Lepisosteus oculatus: one gene and its partner. The protein of the gene in region 1 purifies or fractionates together with the protein of each later gene. This does not show direct contact. Links are inferred from orthologs where the notes say so. Each region holds a gene or a part of one and is shown on either strand. Other genes may lie near its edges.

The links.
Region 2: the proteins of caspase-3-like (region 1) and cryabb purify together in Homo sapiens (affinity purification with western blotting; 3 studies listed by BioGRID). This does not show direct contact. The link is inferred for Lepisosteus oculatus from reciprocal best matches to the Homo sapiens genes CASP3 and CRYAB.

What each region holds. Positions count from the first base shown.
Region 1 is NC_090696.1:75,467,614-75,483,984, forward strand, and holds caspase-3-like, read right to left. Parts: upstream 10,192-16,371; 5' UTR 9,977-10,191; intron 9,350-9,976; exon of another isoform or gene 9,068-9,349; intron 7,404-9,067; 5' UTR 7,399-7,403; coding exon 7,325-7,398; intron 5,867-7,324; coding exon 5,733-5,866; intron 4,774-5,732; coding exon 4,645-4,773; intron 4,190-4,644; coding exon 4,014-4,189; intron 2,637-4,013; coding exon 2,519-2,636; intron 1,569-2,518; coding exon 1,342-1,568; 3' UTR 607-1,341; downstream 1-606. Other genes in the region: primpol (DNA-directed primase/polymerase protein), read left to right, coding at 11,435-11,617, 11,724-11,818, 12,464-12,653, 13,072-13,219, 13,576-13,866, 14,037-14,199, 14,741-14,826, 15,397-15,483 and 2 more. UniProt on the Homo sapiens protein: Thiol protease that acts as a major effector caspase involved in the execution phase of apoptosis. Following cleavage and activation by initiator caspases (CASP8, CASP9 and/or CASP10), mediates execution of apoptosis by catalyzing cleavage of many proteins.
Region 2 is NC_090718.1:15,352,707-15,369,050, forward strand, and holds cryabb (crystallin, alpha B, b), read left to right. Parts: upstream 1-10,084; 5' UTR 10,085-10,241; coding exon 10,242-10,430; intron 10,431-11,721; coding exon 11,722-11,844; intron 11,845-12,020; coding exon 12,021-12,224; 3' UTR 12,225-13,671; coding exon of another isoform or gene 13,672-13,693; 3' UTR 13,694-13,879; downstream 13,880-16,344. Other genes in the region: uncharacterized protein, read right to left, coding at 1-370, 1,225-1,250, 1,775-1,815, 2,608-2,639; hspb2 (heat shock protein beta-2), read right to left, coding at 4,790-5,223, 7,253-7,346; cfap68 (cilia- and flagella-associated protein 68), read right to left, coding at 13,677-13,693, 14,514-14,697, 15,738-15,810, 16,284-16,344. UniProt on the Homo sapiens protein: May contribute to the transparency and refractive index of the lens. Has chaperone-like activity, preventing aggregation of various proteins under a wide range of stress conditions.

The DNA of each region.
Region 1 (16,371 bases):
CATCCACAGGATTTTATAGAATTCAATGCTTCATTCTTGAACATTCAGATTCATTTACACTTTGCAAATCCCGTTCAAAATCCTTTTCATGCTCAAGTTTTCATTCAGGTCTAATGCAGTTTGGCATCTTATTCTTTTATCCTTTTCATACAGCCTCTGGTTACTTCCTTAAAATAGTCTGCCATCCTCACAAACTATGTGATTTGTGTGGCATTCTTTAGTTTTTGTAATCCCTAACACCACAAAAGGAAATAGGTTTTCTTGAACTTGGAAATTCCCCGAAGAACTTATGAGGTCACTTCCGGAATCCACAGAGGCTGTTATGAAAAAAATGCCGTCAATTCTGTTGCATTAATCAGGCTTTGAGAACTTCACTTCTTTGTGCCAGTGGTATTAACCAACAAAGCAGTTCCAGAATGTTAGAACAGCAGCACACTGTCACATTGTCTTGACAGTTACAGAGATCTGATGTAGTATAGAGCCCCATTTCTTTTGTCTTACTACATTTCTGCACCAGGAATTGCTTTGCTTCAAATGCAAAGCACCCATCATGAAGAAAAATATACATGCAGCACTCCACACTCATTTCAGCTTGGAAACGATTAATTCACTTGAAAACACAAGTTTATTTCAATCCTTAGTGGTACACAAGGAAATGTTCACGGGATAATGCATTCTTAGGAGCTGCCTGAGGTATTGTATGACTAGCAAAAAAGTTCTATGGTCTTCAGTGGGTCCCCATTATTTAACAATCTGCACCCCCTCCCAAAATCAAATCATTTTATTCCTATTTAACAGCATTTGTGCCTCAAATCTATAAATGAATGCTCAACTGGTTCTCCCCCCTAGCTGATGCTGTGACTGTCATTTGCCAAATGGTCAATGACACTGTCAAGTGGTTTTTAATCCTCCTCGTCATTTACTACAAACACACTTAACAACTGTGAGAGGCTAATGAATCCCCTAGCTGTCAGGGCCTGTGCTGCTTAATTTAAATGTTTTTTTCTCCACCCTCTTGATAAACAGTTGTATAAGTCTATGCAATGATGAAGAAGGGTGATCTAGACTTTAAGTATTCAATTTCAGTCAAAGATCAGAGTTCCTATAACTGAACAAAGAATTTGCTGATCTTTAATGCACAAGGTGTCCGAGTAACGGAAACAAGTGAGTCAGGGCGACATAAAATCAATGAACTGTGGTTCTCCAGTTGGATTCTCCTAGTTTAGGCATTCATTCTCACAACTATTAAAAATGACATTAAACAGGTGACTTACTAAAGAATTTCACAAAAAGCCATTAAAAAAATTGAAATCCCATTTCTTCAGTACAACAATAAATACATCAGGGAAAATACAGTTCCTTGGTCAGCATGGAAACGATGCAAGGAATCTGCTTTTTTGCATCGAAGCCTGGAATGTTTGAGATGGACTCGAAATCCAGCGCCACCCTGTGGTTCACTCTAGTCATGATCTGCATGAGCTCCAGCTCTCTGCCGTACTTTGTCAGCATGTGACACAGGGACTGGATGAACCAGGAGCCATTCATTGTGTTCCTCCATGAATAGTAACCTTCAAAGACAAAGAAACAATGGCACTCCCTTATAATACACATACACAGGTAAGACACACAAGTAGTTGCAGTATATACACACACTACATAGGGAGAAATCAGCCTGAATGCTATGCACGCGTATACTGTAGATAACATGTAGGTACAGTATATAAATGACACTGATACACTTAAATATAAGTTCAGGTGAGTAGCTGCGTCAGCATGCGTAGGCTGCAAAGGAACAAGTAATAGGTTTATTCCATACTGAAAAGAAGAAAGAAAACAACATTTTGGCCGTGGAGCCTGAAACGTTGCGTTTTCTTTCTTCTCTTTTCAGCACGGAATAAACCTCTCACTTGAATATAAGACTTAAACTGACCATCTCAAACGATATAAAAGACACTTTTCACTTATTGTTATTACAGTACTACTCTGAAACATCACCCATTATCAAGTTGCAGCACTGAATTAAGTCTTCGGTCTGTACTTTCTGCTTTGTAACAGGCCGAGCGTTTAGGCCTGTGGTTATGTCAGGGAACCTGGACTGATAAGGTTCTAGACAAATCGAATGTAAACTGACCAGCAGCGCAAACCTGTTAATGTGGTTAAGAAACAGGTTCTGCAGGACAGAGACCCTTTGGCCCATTTCAGCAGAGCGACAGCACTGCACTCTTGATTAGGAGCCGCAGTGGCTCTTCAGCAGTGCTTCGTTAAATGCTATTCTGTACAGCCCATCCCAAACCTTGACAGGTGTCTTTAAGCGATCCGTCACAAGTGATTATTAACGACTGCCCCCTTGTGCAACAGGGCTCACAGCAAGACAGCCCCCTTCACGCCCCGACAGTGCGGATCTCTGCCGTGGAGGGAGAGGCCGTGTTTTGGCCAAGAGGAGTTTGCCGGTGTGTGAGGAGCGGCGCCGTGTCTGCACCGCGCCTAAAAGAGACCGTGATCAGAGCAGGAAGTGTACCTGGGGCTGTGGAGTACGCATACAGGAAGTCAGCCTCCACGGGGAGCTTCTCTGAGCTGTTATCATCACCAAGGGCATCCGTTTCAATGCCCCCATCCAGGCTGGTACCTCTGCAGGCCTGACAACAGCAACACAACGCAGAACAGACCAACCATTACACTTCATCTTCAGCCTCTGGCTGCACAAGTACGTCCATTTCCTTCTGCAGTGCTGCAGGCCAAGGTATTCGACAGCAGTCCTGTTGATTCATGTAGCCAGCAGCCACGTCACCCTGCAACTCCCAGCTGGCAGCCCACTGAAGCTCAGCAGGTGTGAGCCTGGTCAGTATCCTTGGTGGGAGACCTCCTGGGAAAAGCTAAAAACTGCTGCTGGAAGTGGTGTTAGTGGGCCCAGCAGGGGGCGCTCACCCTGCGGTCTGTATGGGTCCCACATAGTGACTCCCACAGGAATAAGTGGTTTTCTGATAAAAGATAACTTCCATGGAATTCATTTGCCTGTGGACTGGTATTCATTAGGGGAACATTGGCCCTGGTGTGAGAGTGTGCATGTCTGTCTGTTTACCCCCCTTGTAATTTGCATAAACAAAATAATCCGCCCATTCATCCATTTTCCTACTCCTTCTTCCAGTACAGGGCCACAGGGCAGACGGAGCCTAAACCAGCAAATAGGGCGTGCAAGTCTGGATACTCCCTGCACTGGACACTGGTCAATCACAGGGCGGACAGACACACAGACACGCACACTCTCACACCAGGGCCAATGTTCCCATAAGCAAGTAACCTACCAGAATGTTTTTCGGACTGTGGGAGGAAACCAGAGCACCCCGAGGAAACTCATGTGAACACACGGAAAGAGCACACTAACTCTCTGCAGACGGCACCCCAGGTCTGGCACTTAACTATTGACTATGTCGACTATGAAATAATATACAAGCCCAGAAACTGCAATTTGCAATTCTAAATTAAAAAAGAAACAACTACATAACGTTACCTATTACAGACTCTTCTGCAGAAGAAAGGGGTGAAGAACGCAACTTAAATATCAACCCCTCAAGTGATCAGCATTCGTCTCTGTGGTTTGCTTAGGTAGCAGCTTTGTGGAGATCTATGCTGTGGAGAGAGTGCAACAAACACTCTCTACCTACCCGGTAAGCACAAACCGATCAAAACATCATTTCGCTGGAGGGCTTTCAAAACCGCTGCCCGTGTCCACCTCCCGTTAGGAAACGGTTCAGGGCAGCGTAACTCGCTCAGGACAGACGAAGAGAGATACTGAGTCTACCCCCCCTCCCCGGACCATTTCCACAGGGACAGATTAGGCAGCACGGTCAAGAAACGGAGCGCAAGGCTCGAGCCCGCTTCGATTCAGCGCAGACTTCATCCAACACGAGCCGCGTCTTAGGTAGGTAGGTAGGTAGGTAGGAAGAAGAAGAAGAGAACGAAACTCGGCGGTGTTGCGGGTGCAGCCGCCGGGCCCCGGGCCGGGCCCCCTGTACCTGGATGAAGAACAGCTTGGGCTTGCCCACCAGCGTCCTGCAGCGGTCCCCCCGGAAGTAGCCCGCCAGCTTCTTGATCTCCAGGCAGCCGTCCGTCCCGAACAGCACGCCCTCGTCACCGTGGCTCAGCAGCACGCACACGAAGGAGGCCGCCTTGCTGTGGTCCTCCCTGGAGACTGCAGCCGCGGAGAGACGGCGGGGTGAGAGCGCGGCCACCGGCCCGGCCCGAGAAACTCCCTCGGCCCGCCGCACGGGCCTTTAACCCCTGCTTCTATCCCACCACGAGCCTGAGAACGGGCCCCCCCGGGGGGCTTCACAGTGGGAGAAGCTCTGAACCCCGTTTTCCCGCGCCACCCCGCCCGGCCGAGAGCAGCGCTCCGAGACAGAAGCTCGGCTGGGGGAGATCTCCCAGTTACCTTGCCTCTCTCCTCCCAGACTGCTCACCTGCACTAAACCTGAACACGGTCCGGAAACGAAAGCGACTGCGTGGGACTAAACAGAGCTGGGGCTGCTTGCAGTTCAGTGACTGAACGCTGCTGGGAAGAGAGGAAGAAAAAGAGCTGCAAGCCTGATGAGCACAGCCGTGGCTGTTACGTGCACTGCGCTGGGAAGCGGCGAGGTCAGCACTCACTCGACTGCAGGCACGTCTCCATCTGTGCACAAGTCTGGTCATTGACAACCCTGACGCTGTATCCCAGCATTTTAAACACCTTCATCATATTCCCAGCATCCACGTCCGTTCCATTGCGGATATTCATTCCTGTAAAGAAATAAAGCAAGGCAAGCTGTTACAGCGATTCCACTATACAAGTGGGTCGGCCCGTACCACAACCCAATATCAAGAGACAAGACATTTACAATTCATGTCAGAACAAGCTTAACAAAAATTCATTCACTGTATGTAGAAAGGGATCCCACACCACGCAAGATTGAAATGTACTGAATGATAACACTTCCAACTGCATAAGACTGTAAGGAATCTACCTGAATCTACCTTCAACTGATCAGAGTGACACAGAAACGAATCTGAGCCAGAGAACGCAAGTGGAAACTAGGGAGCTGGCCATTTCAATCTGAGAACAGGAAGAGCTTCTTTACACAACGGACTGGGGGGGTCTGGCACAAGGGTCCCAACTGCGGCGTTGAAGCCAACATCCTGGGTCCTTCCAAGAAACAGCAGGAAAAGATTCCCTCTCTTATGAAACAAAAGTCACTCAAGTGCACCGCACACAATCTCGAATAACTAATGTCCTCTTCCTGAGAACACATGCAAACATTCTGAGTCTGGTTATATATTTATTCATCAGTCCGGAGCGGCGAAGTGGATACTATGGGCGAGATATAATAAGCACCCAAACCCAAGGAACCTGCAAAGATCCCTGCACAAAATTTAACTTCACTTCCTTGAGTTTAACTCATATTTCCATTCAAATATCCAAAAGCTTTTATTCTATTTCAAAATAAATACCTTAAAAACACTGTGCAGCTGGAAAACAAAGCTTAGTAATACAGCTCAAAATGAAGAAAAACAGTGTTTGGACATGCTTACGATAAACATGCCTCTATTTTAACAGCACAGAAATCTGCAGTGCTCCATAAAACCATCCACTTGTAGCATCACCCTTCGTAGCAAACCTCTTGTTTGCTCTCGTTCAAATGAACAATGCTGAATTGTAATTTCTCAGCAGAAAGAAAACACAAACCCCATGCAGTTGTTACCTGTCTTTTTATCAAAGTTCTTGTTGTTAATGATGATGCATTGGCCAAGGTGTGGGTAGTTCATTTTATATCTGTACGTGTGGGAGTCATGTTGCTTGGCGTCCACCTGCTTAGGTGGAACTGCGGGACCCTGGCTGGAGAAAGCATGAATCCATCGTTAATGACTCGCACAAAGGATTCTTTCAGTCAGCGTTTACGTCCTGCTAGCAAACACCGCATACGTCCACCCCAAATTACATTCATAATGACGGCATTCAAATTCATAACATTGAAAAAAGTAAATTCACCGGAACGCCACACACAGGAGAGCCGATATAGAACTTCACAGCAGCAGCAGCTCGGACATGAAAAACGTAGACATACCAATAACTTCCTTTACATTCGCTGTTAGTTCCTATGAGCAGATCTTATTTTTTAGAAAGAGTGCAGCGTCTTAAAACAGAAACCTCCGCATAGAGAGGGTTCTAGAAAAGACACCAGGGACCTTTTCACCATCAACACTGGACCCAGAGCCAAAAGGACCAGTCGGCCGCACAGCCTGGATACGTTCTGGGGCTTAAAGCAGTGTCCCGCACTGACCAGGCGGAGGGAACGGGAACTCTGTATGTCTGAACGGTGAAGAGCACTACGTGGGGACCCGACACAAGGCTTCAGAATCGACCTCAGAATGAACAGTGAAGCCCCAGCCCAGAGGACACCAGTGGAAACTACAGTACAGGAAAGGGCATTTAAACGCAAGAACAGGAGGAGCTTCTTCACTCAAAGGACCTGGGGGAATAGGACATGGAGTTATTGAAGCCAATTCCCTGGTGGATGAGATCCTGAGATCAATAAACTACCAACGACCCAACGGTAGTCTGGCCTGAAAGACCGCCTCTCATTTTGTGCACTTTCTGCACTTTGTGTTTTTGTGCTTTCAGAGACTTTCTGTGAGTAAGAATTCCATCGTACCAGTACATGTACCAGTTACATATGGCGATTAAGTTCAAGTTCATTTATAAGTGTCCTTATGTTCCTCTTTTCTTTCTTAGAGATACCAAGAAAAGAAGTGTTTTGTTATCTGCGAGCTGATTTTGCTTTGAAATACATGATATGGTTTTTATTTTCAGTGTACAATAACATTAATCTCCTGCATGTCTAATGGAACAGGATTCCATATGGCCAAAAATACATTCGACATGATACAATTTCGAGAATCTATCTGCTACTATGGTGTGGGGGGTATGTGTGTCACACATGGAGATAAACACAGATCGGCCTAACTCAAATTAAATGAAGTCATTTCCATCTAAAAAAAACAAACAAACTCTCTCGTTGAAGAGAACTGACCACATCCAGGTATCAATGCAGAGAGATATTGTTTCTTGATTCAACAAGTCTTCGACGTTCAAACACAAAAGAAACTGAAAGCACGCAGCCTATAATACGAACGTTATTTAATAATCTCTCTTCAAAGAACACCGAACTACATAAATAACTCGCGTATAAGGGTCTCTTCACACGTGACAAGAGTCGTGACAGTACTGTTCAAAGGGCACCCGGTGTTTCACGCAGCGCAACGGCTTTGCAGACTGGACGGAAGAAAGTCTTACTGGGGGGCACTGGCCGGCTTGGCGTCCACAGCATCTCCTCCGGCGCCTCGAACGGGTTCCGTCGCCTCAGACATCGTCCCTAGACCGAGGGAAACAAGCGGACCACAAAGCTCACCTGGGGCTCCGCTCAGTCACTGGTTTCGCCAGTGGCAGCTCACACACAGACACACATACATACTGTACAGACACACACACGCATGCATGCATACACATACACATACACATACACATACACATACGCCTGCCTGCCTGCCTGCCTGCCTGCCTGCCTGCCTGCCTGCCTGCCTGCCTGCTCTGTGTTGCTAACCGCCTGCTCGGCCAATAGCAGCCCGCGCTGCCAAGGGCCGGGCTCGATGACGTCATCGCCTGTCAAGAGCAGGCTGGAGCCCGTAACTCCCTCGAGCCCGCGAGGCGATGACCTCACACACGCCGGCCGGCGGACAAAAGAACCCCCTCCACCCACCCTCCAGGAGTTTTAAAAATTTACACAGCCTGATGAAATACGAAGAAATATCACCCCCCCCATTAGTTTGTGTACTACTGCAGGGATCCTAACTGTTTTGGCTTTAAGACAAAAAAGGATGAATTTATGAACAGTATAACTGTATAGTAGTTCAGGTGGGCAGCTGCGTCAGCATGCGTAGGCTGCAAAGGAACAAGTAATAGGTTTATTCCATGCTGAAAAAAAAGAAGAAAGAGAACACAACGTTTCGGCCGTGGAGCCTTCTTCAGGTGTAAGGAAGAAGGCTCACACCAAGAGAGGGCTCCACAGCTGAAACGTTGTGTTTTCTTTCTTCTCTTTTCAGCATGGAATAAACCTATTACTTGTTCCTTAACTGTACAGTATAATGCTAGATGCAATGTAGGCATTATGGCCTGGTTTACTGTCACACATTACTGGGCCTGTTCATGGTCGGGTTGAGCTGGGGGAAAAGAAGCCCCGTTTTCCAGCAAAATATCACAATTAAGGAAGGATGATACTGTAATGTCCCAGAGGGGTTCCAACAGAAATTCATGAGGAACCGGGGCACACACAAACGTTTTCCATGGCCTCGTCATTTCACACATGACAACAAATTGGTATTTCCCTCAAAACTTTAAAAAAAAACCCAGAGAAAAAAAAATTAGACTCAAAGTTAAACGAAAAAGAAATAATATAATTACAACTTTGTGATGTCAAATCCTGCTTTTCTAAAAAAAGATGTTAAAATCCAAGGGAATTTTTATATTTGTGTGGGACAAGAAGGAAAACGTACATTTCCACCAGGAAAGGATTTTGAAGACAATTCTTAGAATTCAACAGAAGGATGCACATTTATTCGTTTATGTTTGCTTTTGTTTGAATTATTTGGGCATCTTGACAATTAAGCAAAAGCATTAGACATTAGTTTAATAGGCAGAGGTAGGTATTGCCCTTGAGGTAGAATTACATCGCACCGTGACTCATTGAAATTTGAGTGCCTACAGCAGGGATGTCCAGCCTGGACTCGGGAGGGTTTATATAGTATGTGTAGAAGCACCTGAAGAACTCTGATCAGCTTGATTGATTGATCCGATCTAGCCAAATCATTCTAATAATATACTGATATTTTCTCTGTGAAAAGCTGTGCTGGAATTAAAACCTACTTGACACACCAGCCGTGGCATAGCTTAGTCAGCAGCAAGGTAGTGCAAAACAGTCATCTTCCTATTCAAACACTGACTCCTCTAAAAGCTCACTTCAAGTTTAAACATCCTGCCAGAACAAAACGTTACTTGCAAATCTGAAGAATTCTTTTTATTTCCAAAGTTTGTCCCCTGATGAACACAGTGTTTTTGAACACGAGCAAGATATCCCCTTCGATGGAGGAATTATTATTTAAAAAAAAACAAGTTCAGGAAGTGAGCGATATGTTCGAGGAAAACCTAAAACTTACAGGAAACATTGTACCCACCCACGAGTGAATCAAGTGCTTTAAAACAGCCACATCAAAACACAGTGGAAACGTCAAATAATTCAAAATCACGGCTTTATCTTTCTACTTGGTAAGCCAGTTTATTTTTTTCTCGTTTTGACAGATGTGCAATTAAAGCAAGAGGCGTCCGGCTGTTTGTCTGTGGTCTGTATATTCTTTAATACAAATCAAATATTGCAATCTTGAACGTGAGGGAGATTTTTTTTTTTTAAAAAAAGGACCGAAATACCCTTTAAATGCTCCGGTTAGGAAAGACCAAACGTCCACTGAATGACACTGACCAAACAAGTCAATACCAGCTGTTAGCAGCTCATTCTCGACATGAAATACCTGTGCAATTTCAAGCCCAAGTCTGCCGATATAATAACAGCTTCATGGCAGAGACTCCGTCTATATCTTGACAAGTTTGTAAACAACAGTTGAATATTTTCACCGTCCACATCCAGGCGACTCGAACTCGTGTTTTGGTATGAAACAAAATAATCGATCACTTTTCCGAAGACCTTTTTTTTTTCCGGTAACGAAAGAAACTTGTATCACAAGTGCATATGGTTTTACATCAAAACTCGGGACGACGAGGGAATGAATATAACTTAAACTGACACGGGGTGGTTGTTAATAATAATAATAAAAACAAATAATAAAAATACGAACCACAATTTCCAGCTAGTAATAAGCAAAATAAAGAAAGACTTACGTTTGCGGCTCTCTGCTCCACACTGCTCTTGTCAAAAACTTAAATCTTCTGCGGGTTCACTTTCTTTTTTTTTCCCCGTTTCAAAGGTTGGGTCGCAGTTTGAATATCTGTTTTTTTTTTTATATGGCTCACAACACCTCCCCGCTTTTTGAAACGGGCCGTGAAACTAACACACACACACATACAACAACAAAAGACCGCAAAGGAGAAGGACCGCCCTACAAGCACCGTCGAGTTTTTGTTTCTTTTGTGTAGTTTTAAGAGCCACGATGTGGTGGTATTGAGCTCCACCCTTCGCGTTTTTTTTTACGTAAAATTTTTTAAAAAAACCGACATATAAAAACGAATTAAAAAAAAAAACTACATCTCCCAGCCGCCGGGCCACGAAACGGAAACTGTGCAAAAGGGCGGCAACTTTAAGGAAAAGGAGACACAAACATTGCAGGCAGCGTCTGTGGGTTAATTTGTTACCCAGAGAGAGTTTGCAGTGTGTTATTATTATTATTAATAATAATAGCCGAAATTAAAAAAAAAACTTGGGCCCTCGGTAAGTACAGTATGTGTGTATTTACTATACCTTTCTGTGAACGCACATACGAGACGTGACGAGGAGACCTAATATTTATATATAAAATGATATAATTGATATAAATGTAAAGGAAAAATGATCGTCAGACGCTTGATATCTTCTTATGATGAGGTCTAGATAAACCTTAAAGTCGGGTGTCGTCTTTTCGGGGTGTTTTATATTCTTGTATCGGTCCCTTTGCATTTGACAGTGTATTTAGCCAACTTGTTTGAATTGCTTAATTGGACATTATTTATTCTTCAAGCAAGAATTGTAAGGCTTCCGTTTTTTAAATAATGCCTCTTCAGAGCTCAATAGGCGGACAGGAGTTTACAGTGCGACCCAGCCTAACTGTGAGCTGTCGTCCATCTTCAAAACATCTTCAAAACGTAAAAGGAGGCACGCCTGCGTTTCATCTGTCTTGCCGTTTTCTTCCAGGTCAAGGTGACCTGTGCTGTTAATCCAGGTCAGTGTAACTATCTGTGAAGTGTTTGTGTTTATATACTATGGGAGTGGTGGAAATCATTCATTTTTTTTCTCCTCCCTGTGGGGAAAAAAAAATATTTCTATGACCAGTATTAGTTACCCGGCGTCCTTGTCAAATTTCCCATTGGCGTTTACTCCTCATGGCCTCCTAATAACCTCCCTCTCTGAACTGGCTCCCTCACTCTGCTCTCCTCCCCACTGAGAGCTGGGGTGTGGGGAGCGGACTGGCGCCTCATCCAGGTGGGGCTGCACACTGCTGGGGGTGGAGGGGATCCCCATGACCTGGGGAAGAGGGCAGATGGAGGAGTTTATCACCCAGGTTGATGTGCTGCGCGGGAGCTGATCGTCTCCTGTTCTCGGCCGCTCTCCAGGGTGTCTCCCCGGCGCCGCCCTGCTGGTGAGGGATGATCAGGCAGGAGTGGGGCGAAAGGGTGAGGAGGGTGGCGTGCCGGGCCGAGTGGTACCAGCACTGGCCCCTGTCCTCGCCGTACAAGCCCAGGCTGTCCAGGCCCTGGCAGCCGTCTACTCTGTGGCGGGTTTTCCCCCGCCAGGGCCTGGCCTTCGCTTTCGCCAAGAGCCGCGCGGAGGTGAGGGGCCGGGGTCGGCGGGGCCGTTTCGTCTGGGGGGGGGAGTCGGAGCGCGATCTGCTGTGAAACAGGGCGTGAAGCTTCCGTGTGCTTCTGCCCCCCGAAGGGTGTCCACGTGTTCGCGCTGGAGAACGGCCCCACCGAGGCCGGGCAGAGGATCTACCTGGTGACCACGTATGCCGAGCTCTGGCACTACTACAGGTGAGTCCCGTGACGGGAGAGGGGGGGGGCGTCCGGTCTGGGGAGCCCGCGTAGCTGCTGTGGGATAACTGCTCCAGGCACGGCGGGGAATGAAGCCAGGGTGGCGACTTCATCAGCGCGACGGGCTGGCGTGTTGCCGACTGCCCCATCCCTCTGTGTAAACTGGCGGCTCCTTCTCCGAGTTCTGGATGTCCTTCCGCGTACTTCCCGCTGGTGTCCTGCGCTCTTTGTTTCACTGATGGCGGAGAAGTAGTCGTATAACCAGACGCCTAATTGTACACCTGTGACGATCTGGACCTTGCTCAGATATGAATACAACTTTGAGGGCAATATGATCAAGTCCCGAAAAAACAAAGATGCCTAATTATTATTCCCTTAAAACAGTCATGATGCTGGTAAAAAAAATTCTCTACACTGTTTTCAAGAGCAGTCTTTGTTAGCCACATACAGTAGATCGAAGTTCTAATATTTTGTGAAGCGGCCTACTTTTATTTCATGTACTGTATCTAGTGTGTGAATATATAGCAAATAAATTCAAGGGACTACAACTTATTGTTCAAAAGCTTTCATGTCACATTACACACTCAGAGCTGTTTGCACAAATTGGTCTGCTGCCAGCACAGCGTGTTTTGGTTTTCACCCCAGGACTTACAGGCGGTCTCTAATGCACTGCTATGAGGTCATCCCCGAAGGTGCAGTGTGCAAGCTGTACTTCGATTTGGAGTTCCACAGGCCCTCGAACGAAGGTCGGGATGGAAAACAGATGGTGGCGTTTTTTATTCAGGTATGGAGCCAGCGGTCTTCACGGCGTAGGAGCAGCACAGACGTATTACAGGTCCAGTTCACAAAAGGTTTCTTAATTCAGAGTGTGTGAGCGAAAGTTACAGCGTTTCATTATCCTCTTATGTTTCTAACCGAGGAGAGAAGGGTCTGAAACCCTTGCGCTGAGCTGTGCAGAGTCACTTCACTAGGGCTGTAGTGTATGCAAATGGTGTGGAAAGACAGGAAGACAGGGTAATAAGATGCCCACGGTACTCTGGCAGCTATGAGGAGTGCCTGATTTTCATGCATGTTTGTGAAGTCAAAAAGCCCCATTGAGATGAAGTCCTTGCGGGAAGCTGCAGCAGCAGTGGCAAGAGAAGACACCCCAGGGCTTTGGCTGCGGGCTCCCGGACCCTGGATGTGAGCATGTCCCAGACAAGACCTTCTTTGCACTGATTTTAAACTGATCTGTGGTTTATCTTGTGTCCTAGTATGTATGTCTGAAATTGGAAGAGGAATATGGAATTAAAATCTCCAGGGATGATGTTCTGAATTTGGATTCCAGCACAGAAGAAAAGTTCAGTCGACATCTAATATTCCTTGTTCCGAATGCAGCTTTTAAAGACAATATACACGTTGGTATGTATTTAGATAATTTCTGGTGATTTGTTTGTATTGCAGCCTCAGATAATTAATGACCAAATACCCTGTTAACTTGGCTTATAATTCTGTGAAAATGTAATGCAAAATCGCCTCAAGTTTTGGGTCACACCTGTAAAGAATTGTAGCGCTGTGTGAACTTCTAAAAAAACAAGACAAGCCCAGCTTACACCATTATTCTGCTAATTCTCTGGTGTCGTGTGTCTGCCTGTCTCATTAGGTCTTTAGATCACTTAACTCCTTTTTTTTTTTTTTTTTAGTTTTTGAATTATAAAGCAGTGTGACGTTTCTCGGTGTGATATTACGTTCTTACTGGTCTCATTTTCCACTTGAAGGCCATTTTGTCCACAAGGTGTTAAAGCCAGCGCTGGAGGAGCTGAGAAGGAGAAGACACCGTCTGGTGACAGAAACCCACCTGGAGAGCAATGGACAGCCTGCAAGCAGCCAATCCCCTCTTCCGTCTTTTGGACCTGGGCAGGAACCGGAGGCTGAGAGGCTGAGGAATCCATATCCCAAGAGACAGAGAACCGGGGAGGGTCCAACCTCCCCATCTCCTCAGGCTGGGGGCCTGCTGTTTCTCTTCGTGAAAGACAGAGATGGACAGGATCAGCTCTTTGTTGATGTCGGTATGAATAACATTGTTCGGCTTCCGTTTGCAAACACCGACGGCTTTTTCTGGGTCTTACACGCGGCGCTCTGAAGTATCTATCAGTTTACAGACTGTGACTGCCTTATGAATTGCATACCCCTCACTTTGAAGAGTTACTCATCTATTGCTGTCCTCCTTCCCTGTTAGGAGTGTACACAAAGAACAGAAATTTCCGCCTGTACAAATCTTCCAAAGCTGGGAAGAACGTTGCCTTCAGTGTAGCGGAGGACAACACATTTGTCCCCAGGCCTCAGAAGCACCTGTCTCACGAAGAACAAATATTTCTCGCCTCCCTCGTCAGCAATGTTCGGTACTGCTCTTCGTAATTCTTTGGTGAAATCAAAGACACTTGCATCCAGTTGGGTTACAAATGAGAGGAAGTCATTTATCCCATTCAGTCCCAGTCAGGCAGTGGTTTCTAGTAGCTTACTGATCCAAGGATCTCCTTCGGCTGCTTTCTTGAAAGTTCCCAGGGAATCGGCTTTAATCCTGGCTGTTCAGTCAGAAATCATTAGGGATTTCTGACCATTCTTTTTAAGTGTGCCACAAGATTTTGTGTGTCACAGAGTGAAAGGATATGTTTTGTTTGTAAAGTTTTTGAAAAGCGTACAAAATAGTTTGTAGGCAACTCTAATCCCAGTGTCATTCAAAATGTGATGTCAGGTTTCACAATGGTGTAGCTACTGGCCAAGCTAAAAGAATAAACTAGTTCTTTCAGAAGTCTGCTTACATATATGAAATATATGAAAATGACTTTAAAGTAGAAAACAATAAAAGGTTCAGTCTGATTTTATTGGAAGATGGGATATACAGTATTAGTATGTAACTTTGTTTTATTGTCTCTACACTAGGTTCTCAGATGGTCTGATTATTCTAACTTGTGATGTTCCCGAGGCTACAAAAACAAAGTGCATTCATACAGCAGTTCCCAAATCAGGTAATGTGTCTTAGTCTGGAGGACTTGAAATTAATGTTTAGAAATGGAAATAATAATAATAATAATAATAATTGCTTACACTTATATAGCGCTTTTCTGGACACTCCACTCAAAGCGCTTTACAGGTAATGGGGACTCCCCTCCACCACCACCAATGTGCAGCATCCACCTGGATGATGCGACGGCAGCCATAGTGCGCCAGAACGCTCACCACACATCAGCTATCAGTGGGAAGGAGAGCAGAGTAATGTAGCCAATTCATAGAAGGGGATTATTAGGAGGCCATGATTAGTAAGGGCCAATTGGAAATTTGGCCAGGACACCGGGGTTACACCCCTACTCTTTTCGAGAAGCGCCCTGGGATTTTTAATGACCACAAAGACCACAAATGTGATGGCATTATTTATATTTTCATTTAACCATGTAACATACTAATGTAGGTACAAAATGGTACCAAAGTAATTGTTTAAAGATGTTTTTAAAACTGTAAACATACAGAAATTTAGTGTTTTCATTGATTTGAACTTGAATTCTTTCTTATCTGAATTATTTCTTTTAATTTGTTTGTAGGGTCTGTTGGTGGATGTCAGTATTCTCCTTACATAGAAGTGGACAACTTTGTGCTCTCTCTGGTGAACAAAGATGGCATTGAAGGCAGTAAGGCCTCTTTATCCTTTAAACACTCACACTGCAATGGGTGTAAGGAGATCAAGACCTGAGATAGTGTTGTCTTGTTTTTGCTCCTGAACAGCCATACGGCAGTGGAATTACTTTTCCTCTGAGGAACTTCTGGTTTATGACATCTCCAAGTATCGCTGGTGCCAAAATGTAGGCAGGTTCCATAAAAGCAACAATATCATGTAAGTGGTACCTCTGTTGTTTTTCTTCAACCATTTACATTTCTGTTTCTGAAGGGGTCTGTAGCACACTTCTGCATGCAATATACAGAAAGGGGAGGCCATTCACCCTGCTGTGCTCCACTGAGTTCCATGTCTCTGTATCCTGTAGTTAATACTGGCTGTACTGTGAGCATGGAAGCATTCTACCCCTCTACACCAGCAAGGAACAACTTTCAAATTTGACTAAAAACCTTTAGGAAATGGAAAACATCCACAATGCAACAGTCTGTGCCGCAGGGAGACTTCTGAGCGATACAGCCTCTGGCTTCAGAAGGACTTGACAAAAATCACCCCCCCCCACCATGCATATTTACATCAGACGCCAACACGCACGCTTACGAAGAAACTACTGCAAGCGCCCGTGTGTAGCTTTGAATCGGAAATGAAAAAACACCGCCCGGATATCGGGTTTCACTGCTCGTCTCTGAAGAGGGTTTCACTGGATGGCGGATCAGAGAGGCCGCGGTCGGTTTGGAGAGGAAACCGTTCCGAAGGATGTTGTGCGTCTCTAGGTTAATGCATCCAAATCTGGTCTCCCTTCCAGGATCCTGGTGGATCTGAAGGAGGAGGTCTGGTATCAGAAGTGCCACGACCCTGTGTGCAGGAGTGAGAATTACAGATCTCCAAGTAGGTTCCCACGAGCAGA
Region 2 (16,344 bases), on another chromosome or scaffold:
CCAGCGTGCCCTTCCGCGGCTGGGGCCTGGGGGCGGGTCTCTTCACCGTGCCGGAGGGGATGCGGATTTCCGCGGGCTTGGCGGCAGTCCTGGCTCTGGCGCTGGCGGCCCGCGGGGGGCCGGACGCCTTGCGGGGGGGGCCGTGGGGCGGGGGCGGGGGCGGCTGGAAGTCTATGGTGGCGTACTCCGTGCTGCTGCTCTGCCGGAGCGCCGGCGCGCTGCTCCCCCTGCTGGAGGAGGGGGGCCCCTGCAGCACCTGGATCTCGGCGTAGTGCAGCTCCTCCTGCCTCTGCCCCCCGGCCTTGCGGCGCTTGTTCACCACGGAGTAGATCGGCATCTCAGCCACCGCGTCGTACATGTGGGCTTCTTCCTGCTCGGGACAGAGGGGGGAGTCGTGCTGCGTTACAGAAGGGGCAAGTAGCCCCCAGCTCAACTCTCCACTACACACCAGAACACAGATATGGAGACTGAGGGGGTCTTGAAACACTGATAAGCAAGCAGGAAACTAAAGACAAGCAAGAACAAGTTACTGGCAGTGAGAGGAGGGCACAGGCCCACACGAACACACAGCAGAAAATCTAGGGAAAAATCACCACAATTTAAAGTCCAATCAATAATTCCATTTTTCTTGCCACTCCATTTTCAGAGAAAGCAATAAAACCTCCCAAATTTTAGGGATTATTTTTAAGAACTTGTAAGTAACCTGAAGGAGAACTGGATTCGTTCTGAGAACACGGTGTTGAGTCCTTACAAAGACTTCTAATGCCAACAGCGCCACACAGTGGCCGACTCCGTAAATGCAGAGGTACAGCTTCAGCGTGCAATGCTGAGGCTCCTAATCTACTGACAGGACAGAAAGGACAGAAAATACCCCAGGAGCAGAGAAACAGAGAGTAATAGAGTAAATCACCAGTAATAGAGTAGTGTATCACTTCTACCACATGGATACTTTTATCCCCATAATTTGCACCCATTTATAAAGCTGGGTATTTTTCTGGAGCAATTTAGGTGGAGTACAGTTAAAGGTACAACCGCAGTGTCTCAGGGATTCGAACCCAAACCCTTCCTGTTATGAGTCAATGACCCTGAACACAGCTCCACACTGCCGCACACGAAAGCGTTGCATTACACAAAGAAGACAAAGAAAAGGCTGTGGAAATGAAGAACCACCAGGGCGTGCAGTTCAGGAAGCCAATGGCAGATGAGGGACACTTGTTACCAAACCTGTTGTGAGAGGTCAGCCTTTCCATCTGTAAGGGAAACGGAAAATACACAAATATGACATGATTTGCACCTGTGGATAATGGCACAGATGCAGCCTGGCTTGTTGGATAAAAAGCTCATCTTCATCGTGCTCTGTCCTTGAGCACCAGTGACATCAGAGGCCACTCTACCCATCAGCACCAGTGATGTCATCAAACTCTCTGCCCTTCAGTGTCTATGTGCCACAAAGACATACCACTGGTTTAAAGCTGCTTCTACCTGGAGGAACACATGAGTGTTTGTCAAAGCTGTGCTGCTGTGTCTCCTACTCTCCAGGACAGGCCTTGCACCTGACACACCTGCAGCAGGGTGCTGCTCTGTGGGCTTCTTCACCCCCTTGCTAGGTAACTCCTCCAGGGCCCGCTGCTTCAGTCAGACCTGGGAGTGCTGAGCCTCTGGCCAGCCTTGGGCAGCGATTTCTGCAGCTCCGTCCCCAGTTAGGCACATCTTTCTTCCTGAATACTGCAAGATGACTGTGCCACACAATTTCCTTAAAACAAAAAAAACTCACCTTTCTTTTGATCTTTTTTATTTGGAGACTTCAGCCCCCGCCTAAAATGCAACAGAAACATATCATTGAATCAATCGGTAGTCCAGAGTTATCCAAAACAGATTGACGACGGACGATGAAATTGTTCAGCATTCACATCCGGCTGCAGGCTGTCTGGATCACCGACATGTTACAGGGACGGTAAGAGAGCTCTTCTGGTACCTGTTCTGATCGGCCCGGCCGACAGGTGGGGAGGTCCAGCCAAGAGCAGAATATCACAGCGTCGCTGGGAAGAATGAGATTCACTGCGAGAAAGGGCTTCTTCTGCGGGCCCGTGTAACAACACCCAGCTCCCACCACCGAAACGCACACGCGAAGGGAGCTGCTTAACTCCGTCGACTCTGTTTAACTGGGCTACTGGCCTGTAGTCACACACAGCTAGTTCACCCCCAGAGCGCCGTCGAGCATCGCCGACTTCAGGTCAGCGCTAGGAGTTACGACCACTCCCGCACCACGGAGCTTCTCGGTACTCACGAAGAAACTCAAAACGTTCGTCGCGTTTTGTTTTACAACTACGCTTCTAATTCTCAGCCCGACGTTTTTTGTTGTTGTTGTTATTTTTACTTTACCATGTGTTTAATGTAAGTAAAAAAGATGTATCCAGGAAACCAACACGGCTCTCGGAAACAACAGCTGTGTCAACAAGCAGCGCTGAGAGAAACACGGCGGAACAGCCCCGGTTTGTTGGTTGAAAAGGGCGACGCAGGTTTCTCACACAACACCTAGCAGGTGCCAAAACTCTCCTCCAAAAAAAAAACAGTCGGGAAAAAAGAGAGTTAAAACGTGAAACTTACTTATCCACTCCTTTGGTAATACGGTTTCCCATAACAATTCATGCTTTTTAAGGTCTGACTCAAAAGAGGTCGGAGTTATTCCGTTTCCTTGTTCCCAGTTCTTGAAAGTCACGACACATTCCCGCACAGGTGCAGCGCTCTGGCATGCTAACAGCGCCCCCCTGCGGTCAAGATAAGCACAGCACTAAAGCCGTGAAGTCTTTTTAAATACCACACCGAAATCACCCCCTGGCGACATGACATTAGTGTTTATCGAAACAGAAGGCTGTTGTTTAATGATACCCTGAAAAAAAAAAGCAAAATAAGAACCGACCACAGTGGCGTTTTTTAAATCTTCAGTTGGGTGGGAAGTTATTTTGGGAACTTGTGAATAAAAACAGCTACTTTCCCAGTTAGGTCTTGTTTTTTCTCACGAAAAGTTTTTTTTTTCTCTCTTAGGCTAATGAGTGACTTATGAACAGCCCGTTTTTCCTCAGGGTCAGAGAAGACCTCTCTCTCTCTCTCCCAGCCTGCTCAGCTGTAGGGTATGTGCACAAGGCCAAAACACTGTTATGACACGGTCAGACTACAGTAAATGTCTTGGCTGGATTCTTCCTGGTCTTTCTATATAAATCAGCTACCCCAGCACCTAAAGGTCAAATCAAAAAGGTCGAATCAGCTTCTCTTCTTTTCCTGTCTTCGCCAGGCTGAGTTGCCTGCTTAGGGATAGTCTGCAGAGTGCACAGAATTTGGTCCAAGGAGCGCAGTTTCCACACAGCAACAATACACAGTGGTCTGAGACTTCTCCTTCCTTCTCTGTTGGCTGTTGTTCTCCTCCTCGGATGTGTTTCCACTTTGGGTGCGTTTATGTCACTGCTGGAGATATGAAAGACTAAGAGCCTTTTCCACACACTCATAAGGCACTGTCTTTTTCACACTGTGCCTTTCTCATAGTGAACTCCCTATGGGGAAGCCACCATCTTGGCTCAGACCATGGTATAGCCTTGAGCCAAGATGGTAGCTGAATATGGCGTAATGGCAGGGGGGTGTTGAATCAGACACACCTGGGCATTGGTAGGTATGAAGTTGTTGAAAATTCTAGTAAAAACTTGGATAATCGCCTAAATCTGCTTCCACTCATAGTCTTCTGTGTTTAAAGATTTAAAAAATGTTAATTTTTGGCCTGCCATTGTAAAACATTCCCTTCAGCCTACAAATGTATGTGATTGATTCCAGAGCAGGAGTGTTCTTTTTTGTAATGCTGTGACCACAGTTTACACAGTACTCTGAATGAGCCCCTGCTAGTGTGGCTCAGAGGAGCACTACATTTCTGCAGGTGCACATGAGGCCAGATCAGTGGACAGTGAGTCTGGTCTGATCAGTGGGCAGTGAGTCTGGTCTGATCAGTGGGCAGTGAGTCTGGTCTGATCAGTGGGCAGTGAGTCTGGTCTGATCAGTGGGCAGTGAGTCTGGTCTGATCAGTGGATAGTGATTCAGACCAGGAGATGAGAGGCTTTTTTCAGCAGCTGCCCAGTCATTATTTCCACTTCACAGCTGAGTTTATTTTTTGATGGAGGGAAATACATGTCTTTAACTGGTGAAGGGTACTATAAAGATTACCCTATTAACTAGTCAAACACATTCATGCATAACAAGTGGTTCTTCCTATTGACAAATAAGAGTTTCCTGTTGTCATTTTGTAAGAATAATAGATTTATTAATGTAATGCAATAATACAACATCCGCTGCCAACTTCTCAGGCATGCTTTCCTATCCAGGACACAACACAGCCCTGAGGGCTATTACACACCCACACTGGAGTCTGCTCATCAGGAAATAAAACACACGCCTCCTTTCAAAGAACATGATGCACAGCTTGAGTGATTAGACATCCTAGAAATATCAGCAGGCTTGCCAACACCCCAGGCCTCCAGCAGGACTGCAGGTTCTCCAGCCCTGCCCCAGCCACACCCAGCCTCGCATAGCCCTGCCCCAACCACACCTACCCCGCCCTACCACACCCCAACCCGGCCCCAGCCACACCCAGCCTCGCCTAGCCCCTCCCCAACCACACTCAACCCCGCCCCAGGCACACCCAGCCTCACCTAGCCCCTCCCCAGCCCCGCCCAGCCCCGCCCAGCCCCTCCCCAGCCCCTCCCCAGCCCCGCCCAGCCCCGCCCAGCCCTGCCAGTGTGGGAGGGGTTCACGTGCTCTTCCCCGCCTCCTTGTGCTGCTTCTCCCCGCCCTCCACTCGGACTTGGAGCTCGCGGACGGTGGGCTTGACATCCGCAGCCTTCCGGGGCGCCTCGGCGCACAGGACGCCGTCGTGGGAGAGGGTGACCTGCACCAGGAGCGGGTCGACGCCCAGCGGCAGGATGTAGGTGCGGCTGAACTGGCGGCTGACGAAGCCGTGCTGGTCCAGCCGCTGGGCGTGTTGACCGCTCACCTCCAGCAGGTTGTCCACGGTGCGGACCGCGATCTCGTCCGGCGTGAACTGGCACACGTCCAGCAGCACGCGGAACCAGTCGTCGCCGCTGTCCACCTGCGAGAAGCCCCGCTCCAGCTGCTTGTTGAGCCGCGGGCGGATGTAGTAGCCGTGGTACAGGGTGGGGGCCAGGACGTCCTGAGGCGACAGGCCTGGGGGCGAGAGAGAGCAGCTTCGGCAGGCCAGGCTCAACCTGGGAGCTGGGAGCTGGGAGCTGCAGGGTGACATAGCTGCTGCCATGTTGCACACTGTTTGTTGGCAATAAACAAGAAAAAATCATTCTCGTAATAAAGGATTTACAATTGAGTATGGTGTATGTGCAATTATTTGTGTAATAACAGAGTCAGGACGCTGGCAATGCGCCTCTGTAAGGCTGTGTACAATGTCTCTTCGCTTGTAGCAGATCCTTTTTCTAAACGTTCACAGACGACACTGGTCAGGGACATGTCTCTTTTACCAGAGTAAACCACCTGCCAAGCACAAAGGCTCTGATGCTATTTTGCAGGCCTGCTTCAGAGCCATTACAAAGGAAAGTCATGGTGTGCACTTAATGTATTGATTTTAATATGTTATTTTAATACAGTCAATACATTTCTCACAAATTCCATTCCCTTTGGCACGACGAGACTTCCTCGTCCCCCGCAGAGGACGGGTTCGGAACCTGAGACCCACACTGGGGCAGATGCAAGCCCCTGTCTTTGGGGGGATGGGTCGGTCGCGGGGAGCAGGTGAGGCCCCTGTCAAGCCAGGGTTTCAATCCGGCTGACCCTGGGGTGACCAGCGCGATCCCTCAGCTTCTACTCCTCCTCTGGAGTCTGGATTCGCCGGCGAGAAACAGGCTGAACAAAGGCAGCCCTGCGTGTCTTTTGATAGGGGTGTCAATGTGCTGCCAGGCTGGCTGCTCTGTTCCCAAGACCTCCAGGGTTGTAGGAGGGCAGTTTATTTTCGGGCTGGGCCGGGGAATTCCCCTCCGCCGCCAGACGTCTGTTTTTATTTCCCTCTCAGCCTTTTACTCCTTCATGCTCCGCTGCCACAGAGCAGGAGGCCAAAACAAAGGGAAACTCTCTCCAAGAGTCTAAAGGAAGTTAGGCGAGAGACAAGCCGAAGTTCACAGCTTCTACCACCAGGGGGTGCTCTGCACACATGCCTCTTCGGCCTCTTGAGGAACGAGGCTGGTGCGGCTCATGGGAGGGCGATGTCCGTGACAGCTCTGCCTGGGCCCCCGACAGCAGGAGAGGTCAGGGGCAGGTCGATCTGTCACTTCCCTCTCACGTCAGCACCTCGCCAGCTCCAAGGGGCAATCCGACTGAGACTCGGAGCCCGTGAGCCTGCCTGCCTGCATCCTTACCTCATCACATGCAACTTTCAAGTAATGTCCAGTTATCTATCATGCCCACATACAGGCCTTCAATACCCTGGTACAGTTTTAAGAGCTTTTTAAGCTTTTGGCAAGAATCTAATCCAATTTAATAGCCTCATACAAGCTACAGTCATTTAGTAAAATGTTTAAGATAAGATCACTTTTTTCACCCTATACAGTTTTTTGTATTAGGAATTTGTCTTTTCGCATACTCCAGCTTGCTCTCCATGAGACACACAGACAGGGAGAGAAGCTTGGGGTCGGAGCACAGCCATTTATACAGCACCCCTAGAGCAGTTGGGGTTAAGGGCCTCGCTCGGGGGCCCAACGGAGTAGGATTCCTCCACTGGTCACAGGATTCGAACCAGCAACCTTCCAGCCACAGGCACAGCTCCTCAGCCACAGAGCCACCGCACTGCCCTGCTTCCGCACTTTGTGGACTTGAACCCAGACCATCAGCGACTGCAGATTTGAACCCAGAGCCCAGTGACCACAGACCAGCGCGCTAGATCAGATCATTTGTGTTCCTTCTTCTTGTGGGTCGGTTCTTGGTGAATTTGTTTTTGCTCAGAATGGATGGAGATTTAAGTTTTGTGCAGGAACAGAAAAGGTTGTGAAGCCCCTCTGTGTGCCCAGCTGTTGTGAAGCCCCTCTGTGTGCCCAGCTGTTTAATAGCCCCTCTGTGTTCCTTCTTTCACTCTGAAGAAAAGCGTCCAGTTCCACCAGGACAGGGCGCTGTTGACTTGTGCAGTTCCATGGTTCCACCGCACACACGCCGACCCGACGCACGATCACGAGCCCAGCACAGCGGGAGGCCTTACCTTCCCCGAAGTTCTGGTCGTAGATGCGGCAGGGAGACGCCATCTCGTACTCCACACTCATGGGGTACGCGTGAGGAACGGTGCGCTCCGACATCCCAGCGAGCTGCGAGGGCACGGCGGCTCAGTTCCTCGCGGAAACGACTGGCAGGGTCTGCAGAGAGAGTCGGGGAGAGAGAGAGTGACTGTGTGCCTGTGTTTGCATGGGGCTGATAAAGAGGCCAGAAATAGCCCGGTCACAGACACTCCAAAGGAGACATCATAACTACAAATAAATCCAGAGACAAATACGCCACTGGGATCTCTGATGGATCAGTTTAAAATGGCCCACAGGGACAGGCCAGTCCTGCCTGGACAGACCGGCTGGCAGGGCTCTTGTCTGCGATTCCGAGACGGGATATTACATCTCACCAAGAGCAGCCTGGGACGATTTATTTGAAGGATTAGAAATGCGTGGAATAATTTTGCACTTACTGCAGTACGTCACGACTGGGAGAAGCACTGCAGGCCACAGTGGGACCTGGCTTTGTGTGGAGCTGTGGGAACTGTGATGATGTTACCAGCCTGGTACTGTCAGCACTCTGCTGAATACGGCCCTTCGAACGACAAGGTTGCGAGTGGAATGAAAAGCTGAACCCTCCCGGTAGAGAAAGTGTAAGGAAATACATCTCCCCCCATTCCTGGACCTAAGAATAAGCCCACAGCTCTCAGAGGATATTATATATCACCTAGCTGACCCTGCGGGGTCCGCGGGTGGAGCCCCACACTGCCGCGGACGTCCGAGAGGACGCCGAACTCCAGCCTGTCTCCAGCCGACACCGCCTGTCTCTGCCCTGTTTACAAGACGGCTATTGAGCTCTGCCCCAGGCCTTGCCAAGTCTGGCATCGCCCTGGGGCAGGGGGGAAGTCGAGCGGCTGATTAACAGGCTGCTCTTCTGATGTTTCTCTGGGTGAGGGCGGGGGGGCGACGCCTTTTGTGCACAGCGGAGCAAAGTCACGACAGCAGCAGTTTGCCTCTGCGTGATTCATTTACATGAAAAGTTCAAAGTGAAAGCTGTGTCTTTCTCATATGCATATGATATGAACTGTGCAATATTTCTTTATGTGTATCATACCTGTTGTGAGTATTGACCTGCCCAGGGCTGCACTCCTGTCTTCTGTGGTTCCTGTACATATCAAGTGTGATGTCAGTGCTGGGGCCCCTCCTGGTGATGGAGTGTACTTATTTTGGGCACTACAGGGTGTCCAGGGGTCTAGGCAAGAGTTCTGTCAGGTCCAGGAAGCTCTAGGAGGCTAGTGAATGTGTACAGTATCACAGCAGCTCGTATCTTCTGAAGGAGAAGGCCTTAGAAGTGCAGGGGTGTCAGACTCAGTGACTAAATGATGTCACCAGGTGTAGGCACGTTAACAATAGCGACAATGATCAGGTCAAATCCCACTTCTTTCATGGTTGGATGATAATTCTCTTGACTACAGCAGGTCCCAGGTGAAGGAAGTCCCGAGTGCTTTTTTGTTCATTTTGAATTCTGTTTGCCTTTCCTAGAATAATGTGGCGGGGCTCTTACAGTGATTGTGGCTCTGACTGACACACCAGGGGATGCTAACAGTCCAGCATTCTGGGAGCTGAGTGTTTGGTGATCCGTCAACAGGCCCCTGCAGGTCTCCAGAACTCCACAGAGCTCTACAGTGTTGTTATTGCTGCTCTGCTGATGGCTGCTACTGCTGTTAGCAGCTGTTGCGGGCTGAAGTGGCCTACTGTCCAGTCTACACATCCAGAGAGGTGTTAACATAAGTATTGGCCGAAATATTGTCCAAAATCTGAGCAGGGGGTTCAGAATGGAATAGAGGTGCTTAGTTCCCTTCTTCATGGGAACCAGGGACGAAACAATTTAAAGTAGCCAATCAAGCTCAAGCACGGGGGGGCATGCAGACTCCACACAGACTGATTCCCTAAAGTTGGACACAAACCCGACTCGAGATCTGTGAGGCCACAGTGCCACCCGCTAGTAGATCCTCTTACCCTCCATTGATGCCCTAATAAAAGTGCATTGTGGTTGACTGTGGTGACAGTACAGAGTAGTGAAGTACAGTACAGCTACTGTGCAGCATTAGGTGGTGCTTATCAAAGCATATCCACAGGCACGTACTCTATAGGGAAGATCAGAAATGTCTCGCAAATTTGCTGTTGTAGAATTTCTCAAGTATGAGAGGTAGCTGTGAAAAGCACTCATCACCATACTGTGAAGAACAGCTTTGATAGAGAGTTTAATACCTGCACACATAAAGGACATCTTGAGTGGAGAAGCTGACTAAATAAATGAATGAAGGACCTGCAAAGGCTGGTGCTGTGTCCTGGAGCAGAGGCAGCCTGCGCTGGGCTGCCAGGGGTGGTTTATCCCGGGGCTTGACTCTGCACACAGGGTGCCCTGCCTGCGCCTGGGCAAACACACCCACCAGAGCCTTTGATCCGGCCTGGAGCCTCCCTGGACAAACAGGAGTCAGGGCAGGCGGGGGAGAGGGGCACCGGAGCGCGGCGGAAATAATCCCACCGGCACGCGGGGCAGCCGGAGGAAGAGAGGCCAAGCCCGAGGAGTGCGCGCCAAAAACCGAAACCCGTCTGACAGACGAGCCGGGTCCTGGCGCTGGCCGTGCAGGCACACACAGAAAACCGCGCACCAGCACAAAAGGAGACTTTCCAGCGCTGCGCGCACGGGGGCATCAGCACTATTTAAAATCCCCCAGAACAATCGCAGGGCCGCTTGCCTGAATGAAATCGGACTGCCAGTAATCACGTAAACACACACGGACTGGCACTTGCAGGGGGAGAGGGCGAGCGGGGGAGACGGTTTACATCACCGTTCCAGAAAGTTCAAGAGGAGGGTGGCAGGCTGGCACAGGCTGGTGGGGCGGCTATATAAGTGAGCTGAGGGCCAGAGGCACAGCAGGAGCGGCACGGCAGCAGCAGGCACAGAGTGCGCCCAGCCCAGCCAGCATGGACATCGCCATCCAGCGCCCCTGGTTTCGCCGCCCCCTCTTCTCCTCGTTGTTCCCCGTCCGGATCTTTGAGCAGAACTTCGGGGAGCACATCCCAGAGAGCGAGCTGCTCGCCCCCTTCCCCCTGATGTACTGGCCCCGGGCCTCCTTCCGCGGTGCCAGCTGGATGGACGGCGGCCTGTCAGAGGTGAGGGCCGGGCCTGTTGCGGGTTGACCGTCGACTAACCTTCCAGAGCCAAAGCTCCAGAATTCTCCAGAAGACAAAAGAGACAATCTCTGACTTTTCACAGGTTTGCTGCAGGACCTATAGCTTCTTTCCTACAGAGGAATGTTTTCAAAACTAGCTGTGAAAACCTTAATATTTTGCTAAGTCTTTACTAAACTAAACCGTTGCACGTATGACATATTGAGACCAAGGGCTTGTGGGATATGGAGACCAAGGCTTGAAATCCTTGAGGTGGGAGAGAAAAGGCTTGGAAGGGGGTGTTTTTGTCTGTGAGAGCAGGATGGCCAGGAATGTGACAGCAGGGAAGAGCGCAGCAGATATTGAGACGTCGTATCCACAGCGTCACCAGCACTAGGATCAAGCGCAGTGAAACAGGAGCTGCTGCTCTGCTGTGGGGGGCTGGGTGCTGGCGTTGACGTGGGCACTGAAGTCAGGGAGGAAACGGTGGGGTGTCTCTGGCTCTCTCACACATGAGTCCTGGGGCTCAGTGTCCTGACCTGCTCCGATTCCTGGGGATCCCGTGATGAGGTTCCCTCTGTGTCACGCGAGTCCCTCCCTACTGTGGCAACATTTTCTTGGTAGCATGTTAAAACTTTATTCCTCATAAAACGATCACCAGCTCAAATACCTGAGCCCTGTTAGTTTAAGACAAAAAACCCTGTAGTTTGATGAAACACTCACTCGACAAAGAAAGTGACTCCAACAGTTCGGACATGAAACCAGTACAGCACAGATGATGTGAGCTGTTCCTTTAAGTCCGTCGGCGGGCGCGTGCACATGTTGGCCTCTGAATGTTTAGAATTGCTTCCCGCTGCCTGCAGCCAGCTCAGCCCAGCACCATGCCCTCTGTGTTCGCTGCGAGGTGTCACAATGTGACCCATGGGAGGAATCTCAGAGCGCAGTGCAAACTGCCCACTCCCCCACTCAGCTGACTCCCAGGGTCAGAGCTGCTCTTTCAGACTGCAGAGCGCTCGTCTGTAACCTTCAGCCGCCTAGAAAACCAGCCCTAAAATACCTCTTGGAATTAACCTGCTAAAGCTGGAATTGGTCACACTTAAGAGGCGCTTTGTCAGCTTGTGGCTCTAAGAGAAAGAAACAGATACCTGTATGAATCCTTCTGTTTAATAATGAGGCACACCTGATGGCTCAATGCCCTGCCCTGTGACGGGGATGCTGACCTGTGTGCATGTGAGCAGCCCAGGCTGCACAGGTGTGTTTTTGTGTGCTGACCCTGCTTCCTCCTGGCCGGCAGATGCGTCTGGACAAGGACAGGTTCGCAATCCACCTGGACGTCAAGCACTTCTCCCCCGAGGAGCTGTCCGTCAAGGTCAACGGCGACTTCATCGAGATCCGTGGGAAGCACGAGGACCGCCAGGTAGGGGAACACCCTCCCTCCCTGCCTCTCCATCCCCCTTTTCTCCTGCCTCCTCCCGGCTCCTGCCCTGTCTCCCTGGCCCTCCCCTCTCCACTCTCTCTTTCTCTGCTCCCCTCCTGCAGTCTCCCGGGGTCCAGCCTGCCCTCCAGCGTGCCTTGTGTCTTTCCCTTCGGCAGGATGAGCACGGCTATGTGTCTCGGGAGTTCCACAGGAAGTACAGGATCCCAGGAGGGGTCGAGCCGGGCTCCATCACCTCCTCGCTGTCCGCCGATGGCGTGCTGACGATCAGCGCCACGCGCAACCTGTCCGAAGTGGCCGAGCGCACCATCCCCATCACCCGCGACGACAAGCCCGCTGGGGCTGCGCCGCAGAAGAAGTAGACTTCCTTCTCCCCCGCCCCTTCGCCCTCCCTGGCTCCTCGCCACTGCCACCCCACCACCACCGCCCCGTCTTCCTCGACCCCGGCACCCGCTGAGCCACGGGAAGTGAAGAGAGCCCCCCCCTGCATTTACAGGCAGGGGATAGGACCCCACTCATCCTCCATTACTCAGAAAGGGTGGGCTCATGGAATTCGCTGCTACATCAGGGCCTCTGTCCTCCTAGCTTGCTGAGTAAAATCAAACACGCTGCAGAACAGCTGAATGAGCAAGGGAAGGAGCAGACAAAGGCACACTGAGTGCAGGGCCCTGGTGCAGCTGGACCAGTCAGTCCCTTGAGGAAGGGGGAAAAGGTCCACAGAGTGACAGACGAGCCTCTGTGAAGTCAGCTACTGATCGTGCCTCAAAGACACAAAAACAGTTCAAGGAAGTAGGACAATCTTAGGGAACTTGTGCGTGTAGAAACGCCATGCCCTTAAGTGGGCAGGGTTTATGTGCAGAAGCGAGCCCCGTGACAGAGCACAGGAGCGCTCCAGAGCAGTTTGTAGCTGGAGCTGTGGGGACCATTGCCTCTCTGAGAGTGTGAACCAGATCCTGTGTTCTTGTACAGTCAGGTACCTTGTACCTGAAGGGCAGTTACACTGCAGGGGTGTTGGCAAATCCCAGTCAAGAACGCAGGTATCGGCTTCAGGAAAATCCCCGCTCCACCCAGCTCAAAGGCTGAGGCATTAGGTTTACCGCAGCAGTTGTCTGGAAAATGGTTGCTGAATTTTTTACTTACAGACTTGAAAAAGACCAAAGGAGTGACTGAATAAGTAGTCTGACTTCACAGAGGAGTTAATGACAGGTTCTCTGATAAAATTCTCTTGTTTTTGTATATACTGAAAAGCATTTAAAGTGCAACAAAACACTATTGATTCCAAAACTCATTTGATGCATTTTTAATGCCTCCCTGTATATATTAAAGCACTTTGCTGTAAGTGTAACGCACCTGCCTTCAGTGTGTTTTGACGCTGCTCACATGGCAGTGGTCAAGAGGGAAGTGGGTGTTTTCCCAGTAGAAGCCAGGCCTCTGGTTTGGACACTGGCCCAGATGCACTCTGTGATAACCACAAGGTATACACAGAGGTGTCGCAGCTGCGTGTATTGGTGACTGGGACACAGAAGGCACTTAAAACAAGGCCACTTGAGGCAGAAAACAGCCAATGAGACAAGAACATGATATCAAAACTTTTATTGTAGAATGGGCCCACAAAATCTGGAAAAGTAGAAGCAGAAAGGAAACCAGATGGGAACAACAGCATATCTTCCAGTGATGTAAAGAAGTGCACAACTTATCCCTTGCAGGGGCTCAGTTGTAGTCTGTTGTCCGACAGCCCTGCAGTGTCTGTGCTGTCTGCTCTTTCCTGCAGCCGGTGAGTGGGCTCGGCTCGGCTCGGCTCGGCTCGGCTCAGCTCAGCGGTCGGGCACTCCTGTGTCGGGTTCAGGTTCGTGGACAGGGAGGGGGCAGTGTTGTTTAAAAAGATCCTGCTTATTCATTTTCTATTTTGTCGTGGTCGCTGCCTAACCTTTCATTCCTGAGACCCCATATAGAGCAGCCAGAGCTCAATTAACACTTGAGTTTCTTAAATGTTCAAGAATAAATCGTTTCAACCACATGGGTGGCTCTTTCGTTCTTTTGTTGTTTATTTTTTCTGCTGTCTGCGTTTGAATCCCATGTTTTCTCCATATTGCAGCCTCAGGACAGCAGTCTTCAGTCCTGGGGCTGAAGAGACTCACAGAATGTTCTAATTTTAATTCCAGAGGAGTTGCCAATATCTTAATTTAGGCCGGTTACTTGCAGAATCACTACATGTAAACTTGTACTCAAGGTGTCTGCCTGCTGTTTATAGCTCCTTATGAACTCTGCAGGGCAGAAATTCACCAGGACCGTAGAACCCTGAATTAAAAAATGTTTGTGCTAGAAAAACCTATATTAACCCTTTTAAACTACACATTGCAGCAGACAACACCCTTCTTATTGGAGGACACGAAAAGGAAGTCTATGCCCATCAACACTTCATGGGGGCGTGGCTACAGAGTTTCCCCAACACACACCTGTTCTGCACTGGACCTCACTGCGATTATACCACAAGGTCCCATTTCGCCACACCATCCATCCACAAGTCCACTTGCACACATGAAGAACATTGCACAACTGCTTCTCTTCACTTTATCACACTCTTAGTCCCACTTTCACATCTGCGGTTTGTCGGGATATACGGTACACTGTACTCAGCCTGCACACTTTACCCCCAGCAGGTGGAGCTCTGTGAGCTATTACTCTGCTGCCCTGCCTGCGTCCCTCTCTGCGCCTGCAGGTGTGGGGCTGGGTCTCTGAAGTCGTGCCGGTAGCAGGAGTCGGGGACGGGCTTTGTGTGCAGGGGATCCAGCTCAGGCTGGTGTCCCGGGAAGCAGCGGGGTTCCCTCTTTGTACCTGCAAAGCAGAGACCTGTGTCAGCATTTGAGGAACATGGCGGTGTGACTCCAGGCCTGGCAGGTCACCAGAGGGTCTTCAGATTGTCAGTCTAGCTCTTAATTGTCTGTCTAGAATAATCAGTCGGCTCATCTGACTTTTTCAGAAGACTATGAAAACCCCATAACTTGCACCCACCAGCACAGTGGGTCCTGGGTTCAACTGTGCACTGGGGCACCTTCTGTGTGGAGTTTGCACGTTCTCCCTAAAGCTGGATTACTTAGTGCCTCCAAATTGTGTCTGTGTGTGTGACTGTGTGTGTGTATGTGTATGTGTCTGTGTGGGTGACTGTCTGTGTGACTGGGTATTCTGTGTGTACATGTCTGCGTGTGTATATGTGTCTGTGTGTGTGACTATCTGTGTGAGTGCATGTACGTGTCTGTGTGTGTGTGACTGAGAATGTGTATGAGCCCGTGTGTGTGTCTGCATGTAAGAATATCTGTGTGTGTTACTGTGTATCTATCTGTGTGTGTGGCTCTGTATCTGTCTATGTGTGTCTGTGTGTGTGTACGTGTCTGTGTGTGTGTCTGCATTTGTGTACTTGACTGTGTGTGTGATTGTCTGTGTCTGCATGTGTGTACGTGTCTATTTGTGTGACTGTGTATCTGTCTTTGTGTGTTTAATGTGTGTGTGAGTGACCTGAGAAGGACAGGTGCCCCTTCCCAGGCTGCAGCCCTGCCTTGTGCCCTTGCTTCATGAACACTCTGTGACCCATGCTGGGAGTTTTCTGATAGTGGATAGGTGGACACACCTCTATTCTACTGAATTTCTACAGGAAACTCTATACACTTATGGCGTAGCCCACCCTGGGGATCTCTGGAGGCTCTGCAATTCCCCCAAAGACATTCTACAGCACCTGTTTCCCCAAGAGTCTGAGTCTCGCAGCAGGCAGCCATGACCTGATCAGCCTCAGCTGCCGAGACGAGACTCAGGGGCGCGACCAGAAGGGGTCGTTACAGGCAGGGGTCTCAGGTGCTGAAGAGAAGGGAGCAGGAACTTACCAGGATCACGCGGGGGGGGCTGTCGGCCTCGGTCATACGTGGAGGAATACGTCGTCTCAAAATAGTGAGCGAACTGCCAAAAGAGAGGAGATGTGGCTCAGCCTGAGAACCCGGGGGGAGGTACCCCCGAGAAACTCCTGTGGCGTGTGTGTTGAGTGCCAGGAATGGAGGGGGGTGGGCCTTGTGCTGTGAGGAGCACGGGGACTTCTGGGCTGCACTGTGACAGTCCTGAAAAGAACGCTTTCGCCACAGTAGGTGTGGATATTTTGAGTGGTCAGTCACACGGTTGCTCATCTCAGAGCTTTCTTCCCTCTGGAAGATTGTGAGCAAAATTCTCAACTTGGCCTGGAGGGCTGACGGTAAATCACAGGGTTGAGCCAATAGTATTCAGGTCCAGAACACTGCGTGCCTGGTATAGCTCTCTTTTTACATCTTTTTTCTTTTTACAAAACAAAGAACTTTAATGAAATGGTTTGTACGGGTGTTTAAAAACAACATTTTTCAGAAACTATCCAGGTGGCGCCCCCTGCCCCCACGGCCACACACCCTGGGGGTAAGGCCCAGACTTGGCCCACCTGGGAGGGCAGGGGCCGGCGGCGGGCCAGGG